2 linked regions of the Xenopus tropicalis genome follow. The protein of the gene in region 1 purifies or fractionates together with the protein of each later gene. This does not show direct contact. Links are inferred from orthologs where the notes say so. Each region holds a gene or a part of one and is shown in the gene's direction. Other genes may lie near its edges.

Region 1 (3,755 bases):
GAGCATGTGTGTCATGAGTGCATATATAACATCAATAAGGATAAAACACCAGTGCCCCCGGAAGTGTGTATGAAATAAATAGATTAATTTATTGCACATCTTAATATAATAGCAAAAATCTGCCAATAGGCTGGGAAGAATTCAGGATACTAAGTGCTTGGTCAGATTAGGCTAAGAAAGAAGCAGCAAAAAAAAAGCTTCTTGAAGGGAACAAAATGAACCATTTCGAACATCTGTTGACTATCATAAAAATATTGGTTATATCAGATCTGGGTAAGTCCATAATAAAAGTCTTGGACTAGGGGCGCTGCTGCCAAGAGGCGTGTTGAGATACTCAGAAGGTAGCTCCCCGCATCGGCTCGTTGAACTGTAGACTTTTGTGCATATGCCAATTGAGGAGAGGGGGAGGTCGAGGATGAGAGAGCCTGGGACTCTAAACCTATTTTTACAAACCAAATCTATGGATTTTTTTTACATGGGACTGGATTTTTGAATACCCTTAAGCCAGCTGCCAAAGCCCACTGAAACAAGCCCACGCACACATACAGGCCACAGACATGTGCATGCTCATTTGAACCTATCCACTCCCAATCCTGCTCTCAGTCGCTAGCTCCTACTGGCAGCACTGGGCACCCAGTGCAGACGTGGAAGCATAGTGTGCCACCCTAGGCCCAGGCCTTTCCACAAATCTATGCCTGCTTCTACAGCTGTATTATTTAAGCCATGATTATAGAGCTATTACTAAGCACAAATACCACAGGTTGAGGCTGGTTGTTTGACATACAATTACAAGCTTCCCTAAACATTATAACTGTTTCCAGTGCTTAGCAAACGAAAACAAGCTGAATACAGCTCCAATTAGGATTCTAAGTTATTGTCATATTCACACTACAGCAATGTACCATAGCAATCAATGATACAGAGCTGTCAAGTCAACCCCATCCAACTTTCCTGGACGTTAACAGATTTTGGACCTCTTTCCCCAATCTATTTTTACCCAAATAATTATACTTTAGGGTTCACACCTAGCTGTTAAAAGCTTTGTAAAGCCTGCTGTATTTGGCTATAGGTTACTGCTCACATACTACTTTGCTCATTGACAGTATAAATAAAACTGAGTGACATAAAGCAACACTGGGCAAATCTACACCTGCTGGGCACTGACCCTTAGCAACATATGCTTGCTTTAATTGAATTGCCCGCAGTCAGCCGGGAAGAAATCTATTCACTGATTGGCTGGAATGCTTTCCGCACTAAGTATAGTTGGATATGTGTAATACGCAAGTGGACCGATCTTTTGCAGTTTATAAATGCCTTTAGAGGGAGCTGAAAACTTCATTCATTAATTTGAGCGTCCCGCTTGCGTGCATAATTTCCTACTTCCTTTCCAGAGGAATTAACCCCGCCCTTTTTTGACCCAGTACCCTAGCCGAGTTCCCCCCCCTTGTCGCCAAATCACGTGATCTTGACATCACAGCAGGCCCTTCACTCTCACAGCGTTAGAATATGGTTAAGAGCGATGGTTGCGCCGAGTGCGTCCCCGCCGCCCGGAATATGTGGGCGCGCACTGGAACGCGCACGCAAGGTACGGATCATGGGAAACCTTCCTTCATGTATCACCGGACGTTGCTTCCATTGCTCAATCTTGGTAAATAATTCAAATGTCTCAGCATCCTTTTCAGCTTTGATTGCAGTGCAGAGGGTGGGCTGGATCCGCACGGTGTTGAAGACTGCGTTGAAGCCGAATGATTTACTCGTTCGGGGTTGAAATAGAGAAAGGGGCGCGATGATAAACCAGGCCAGTCGGCAGAAATACAAAATTACACGTACTTTTCTCCTGTCTCTCTGTGTGTGCTGTGTATTATCAGTCAGCTCGTCTAACATCCCGCTCCAGCGTCGCGTCTATTGCCATTCACTTCGTGACCCAATTCTAATTAATATCCAGGTTCTAATCTGCTCCTGTCACTTCTAATGCGCTCTTCTATCATACCCGTTGTTGTAAAGTGCTAAAGGGATTTGACTACATCATAACTCGATCATTCCTTTTCCTGTAGCATTATATATCTTTATTGTCTCCCTCATTGCAACATCATTTTTGTGTGTAGCCCCCATCACATACATAGTGGCTTGTGCTGCTTATCTTGTTCATCAGCATACCTTATTATGGGTACACAATGTGCATGTTAGGGGGAGGGGGGTATTCCAATGTAGTCTGTATCTGCTTTCCTTAGGTTGTTAAAAAAAAAAAAATGACAGTGTTACGGCCACCCCTGATAAAATGGCTCATTACTTGGTCTACTGGCAGTTTCATATGCCTCGGGCAAGAAGAAGATGCTCTTTCTGGTGCCCATGGGGTGAAACTAGAATAACTGAGGCAGAGATGTGTTTTTGTTAATTGCTAGAGGGATGTGAGTCCCTTAGAAGCAATTCAGATAAAAAAAAGGGGTTGTTTGACGATGCAAAGAAATCTGCTTGGTTAGGTATTTAAACCTTTGGAAAATGTTTTGTGTGTATATATAGGTGTTGTTTTTTAAACTAGAAAAAGCATGATCCCACCATAAGCCAAAGGCTGTCAGAGGTCCTATTTGTTGTTTAAATACAGCTTCTGGGCTATAGGATGATTGCCTTGAGCCCAAAATACCTGAGCAGACTATTCAGTTGCCATGGGGGGGGGGGGAGGGAGGAGGGAGGGCGCAGTGATGATGCTTGAAACTATTGAAATATAGGCTATACCATCAAGTTTAAGGGTGAAGAGACACAGAGCTACTAGTAGCAGCTACTTGTCGTGGCTACTAAAGTAGACAATGCTGACCATTTACTGATAATTGTATCTACATGTGTTTTAAGGTCCCCATACACGGGCCGACTATAGCTGCCGATATCGGTCCCTTGGACCGATTCGGCAGCTAATCGGCCCGTGTATGGGCAGAACAGAGCAGCCTGCCCGACCGATATCTGGCCTGAAATTGGCCAGATCTCGATCGGGCAGGTTAGAAAATCCAGTCGGATCCGGGACCGCATCGGCTCGTTGATGCGGTCCCCGAACCGACTGCCCCATAACCACAAATGTATTTTTTTTTTAAGTTTCTTGCTACCCGATATCGCCCACCCGTAGGTGGGGATATCGGGTGAAGATCCGCTCGCTTGGCGACATCGCCAAGCGAGCGGATCTTATAGTGTATGGGCACCTTTAGGCACTTCTCAGCATTGTCTATGGCAGGGTATCTTCTGGTGTTTAGTAGCCATGAAAAAGTAGCTGCTAAAAGTAGCTCCCTGTGTCTTCACCCTAAGCACCCAAACGAAGACCATTGTACTTAAAGGCACTGATACAATCTGCCATCACCATCGCCCATAAAAAAAAAAAAAAAAAAAACAGATAAGATAAAATCTTTGAGAATAGCAACATACTAAGGCTAATGCAGGCAACTTCATGCAACATCAGAAAATGAAGAGGCACCTACGCTTTTCCACAGGCAAATTACTTTGTTGCCGGTGGAAAGGAGAGAGAAGTCGCCTGCTGTAGCAGAAATTTATCGTGGGAGACTAATCTCCCCATGAGACATTACCCTTAGCCCTCAAATGCAAAGTGCCTATTTTGTCCATCATCCATAAATAAGGCCCATTGTGTTTCAAGCTTGTAGAAGTATTGATTTGATGGAACAGGTGTTAACTTGCTCTTGGCTCTTCTATAAATTTGTTTGTAAATGTCTGTATCTCTATTAACTAATTATTTTGTTTTAAACTATGAAATCCTG
Region 2 (3,655 bases), on another chromosome or scaffold:
CATTTAAATGGAAAAAGTGTTTGGGAGCAACACAAGTATGAAAAAGGTTCCTGGGGGTGCAAATAAAAGCTATAATTGGCTACTTAATAGCCCCTATGTGGCATTATATTTGGTTTTTATAGTTTTTAAGTTTTTATGCAACCAAAACTTGCCTTCTTACGAGAAATTCAAAAATAAGCACCGACTTTGAGGCCACTGGGAGCAGCATCCAAGGTAGTTGGTGAGCAACATGTTGCTCACCAGCTACTGGTTGGGGAACACTGGTCTAGGGCTATGTTTGGGGCTGAATCGGCAGGTGGAGGTAGAATTTCTATTGTTTCTAAGTCCATATCTGACGATTCAGCCCTGAATGTCAGTGGAGGGTGGGAACGATCTTTGCTACGTATATGGCCATCTTTAGGCTGTTATGTTATTGCTCTTTATTTGTTCAATGTTATCTCTCCTTTTCTTTAAACAGGTCACACCAATCAGGCAGTTGATCAGACTGTTAATGTGGGAGACAATAGTTCAAAGAAACTTAAAAGAAGCCACAAATCTTCAGTGTTTCAGAAGAAAAGAAAAATAAGTAAGTTTGTAATTAATATAGTGTAATTTTTAGTGTAAATAGTATTAAAATTGTAAATTAAAATACTATTTAATGTTTATTTTCCAGAAGAAATATTTTAAGAACAAAGAGTTAATAATAATTTGTTTGTCATGAAAAAAGCATAAACAGTATTACAGTATAAGCAAATGAAAAATATATTAATAAAAGGGCAACTAGCTTGAGCCAGCAAATAACATAGGCCTTTACTGCAGCTCTGAGGTATGCCTCAAGTGTTGTTATCCTTTATTATAACACAGTGGTTTCATTTCGTAACTCATTTAGGAAGGTGTGCTGTCAACATGATCCTTTAGTACTTAAAGGAGAACTAAACCTAAAATTGAATATGGCTAGAAATGCCATATTTTATATAATGAATTTATTGAACCAGTCTAAAGGTTCAACATATCTATAGTAGTAATAATCCAGTGCTTTAAAGTTTTCATAGTGGGGTGACCATACTGGACACTTCTGTTACAAGTGTCTGTGACACTCACATGCTCAGTGCGCTCTGAGCAGCTGTTGAGAAGCTAAGCTTAGGAGTTGTCAGAAATGATCAAGCAAAGAAAATGAGGTTTTCATATAAGCTGATCCTAATGGGCTGATGATTAAAGTCTGATGCTAATAGCACTGGTTTCAAATATGCCATGCATTAATTATCTGTGTTAATTAATCATATATATATAATATATATATGGGGAACTACTGCGGCTTCTTAGGGGGCACAGATCTTCCCTGCTAAAGGGCTGTGGTTGCATTGGGGTGGTACGGGTGTGAACAATGTGGGTGATCACAGTCTGAGACTGAGGTGTGAACAATGCTGGGATTAAAATGTGTGAACAGTTCAGGGTTTAACATGTTTAAGCAATCTGAGGTGAGAACCATGCAGGGGGGGCAGTTAATCTCAGTACTGATAGCATTTAAATTTTACACAAAGGTAAGCCATCAAAGCAGCCAGACAAGTGGGGGGGGCCACACAGAGGGGGGTCGCGGGCCGCCAGTTGGACAGCACTGATCTACAGTGCCAGATCAGCTCCCCCAGTCTTGCTAGTTTTCTGATGAAGGTGGGCAAGCACATATGGTGAAGGAAAATTACTGATTTTTATTTCCAAAAAATTTTGATGACCACCTTGCCTGTTCTTTGATCTGGATAGAATAAGTTTGATTCAGTACACCTTAGCAGCGCGACTTTAGGGGTCCTCGTGGCCCAGGTTCAGGCTACCCCCCTCGCTCCTCGCGTGCTTAGCTTTTTTGTGTCGGAGGGGAGAGAGGGAGGGCTGCATCAATAGAATAGAGAGTGTTTAAAAATCAGAATTTTGGCTCTTTTTGCCACCCCTGGTAACCTGCCAGGAGGCATGTTTCTAAACTCGCCTTATACCAGCAGTGCCCCTTGCACATTGGTATTAACTTATGATAAAGAATTATCATGAAGGCAATAGAAAAAGTCATTGGACTGGTACAGAAATGTAAACTCTGAAGCCTAGGAAACGATAGGTTCATGATGAAGGACACACAGGTACGTACAGGTATGGAACCTGTTACCCACCATGCCTGGGACCTCGCCTTTTCCAAATAATGGGATTTTCCATAATTTGGATCACCATCTCTTAAGTTTACTAAAAATATATTTAAACATTAAATAAACCTAATAGGATTGTTTTGCCTCCAATAAGGATTATTTATATATTAGTTGGGATCAAGTACAAGGCACTGTTTCTCTATTACAGAGAAAGGAAATCATTGTTAAAAATTTTAATTATTTGATTATAATGGAGTCTGTGGGAGATGGGCTTTCTGTAATTCTGAGCTTTTTGGATAACTGGACCAATACATGTGTGTATCTATTATAGTCTTATATTCTACAAGGCCATCCCTTTCACATACATAAACAGGCAGATAACGGAATAAAATACACATACATAAAATGAATGCACATAGATACTATACTTAGAATTTATTTATATTAGAAAACAGATATAAATATAGTGGCAAAAAGTTTTACACACAATCAATAAATAGTAGAGCCTGCTTAAATGTAAGATTTGAGAGCTGATAATAAGTTAATAGCTGGACAGTTACAAAGAATAAACTATAAACACCATTTGTATTTTGTTTGGTAATCCAGCTTGCTACAATCACCAGGACTTTCTGGAGTCCTATTGGCTAGAAATGGCCCTCCCATGTATTTTTATAGCCACCTGCCTATAATCCCCTAAAGGGGGATTCAAAGACGGTGTACAACATCAAGAACATGTATGTCAGCTATTTGGCTGACTAAAGAGTTGGAACTGTGCTTCCATAAATCATACTTACTGTAAATTTAAAGCATATTTGCATTATTGGTTTTCAGAGTGACGCTTGACAGTTTGATAAAAATAAAGATATAGTTTTATCTGCTTTCTTTTTTTGTGTTTTGGCAGCCAACACAAGTGATAGTGAAGATCTTTCTGGAGGTGAAAGCCTTACTAAGATGCAGTCGGAAAGACCAAATGTTGGTTTAAAATCACAGCCTACCAAAGTTCCACTCAGAGTGCATTCTCCTGGAAAATATGCCAAGAACAGAGAAAAAGATACATTTCAGAAAGAATATGCCGATCGCCTTCCTAAAGTTTACAAATGGAGTTTTCAAATGTGTAGGTGTCCCATTAAGAAGATTCAGGATGCTGTTACTGGCAAATGCTTATGTGCCAGCCTTTCTCTAAATGTAATGGTGTATGTAAAACTGCAGCCACGGTTGTCCTGCAAAAGCTTTTGTCAGTGCTCATCTGGCATAGCTGGTCTGTATTTTCAGGAAAATGTCAGTGCTGGCACAAACACTTGCAATGCAAGTCTATAGACAGTAGTAGTCTGGCAAGCTGACACAGTGTTTTTGGGATACTTAGAAGCAAGATTGCATTAAAGCCAATAAGAAATAATGCTGTCAGTCTAGCTTTACACTGTGGTTAAAACTTGGAGCATCCCAAAGAAAATCATGCAAAAATGGGAAGTATGCAGATAGCGTCCCAGTCCTGTCATCCATCAATATCCTCCTTTTTAATTTGTTTCATTTTTGTAGACTGCAAATTAGTTTAG

Evidence for each region.
Region 2: the proteins of sin3b (region 1) and arid4b purify together in Homo sapiens (affinity purification with mass spectrometry; 3 studies listed by BioGRID and IntAct, with this or other methods). This does not show direct contact. The link is inferred for Xenopus tropicalis from reciprocal best matches to the Homo sapiens genes SIN3B and ARID4B.

The regions. Positions count from the first base shown.
Region 1 is NC_030677.2:111,954,603-111,958,357, forward strand, and holds the start of sin3b (paired amphipathic helix protein Sin3b), read left to right. Parts: upstream 1-1,575; 5' UTR 1,576-1,648; intron 1,649-1,661; exon of another isoform or gene 1,662-1,798; intron 1,799-3,755.
Region 2 is NC_030681.2:55,881,103-55,884,757, reverse strand, and holds part of arid4b (AT-rich interactive domain-containing protein 4B), read left to right. Parts: intron 1-457; coding exon 458-565; intron 566-3,003; coding exon 3,004-3,216; intron 3,217-3,655. UniProt on the Homo sapiens protein: Acts as a transcriptional repressor. May function in the assembly and/or enzymatic activity of the Sin3A corepressor complex or in mediating interactions between the complex and other regulatory complexes.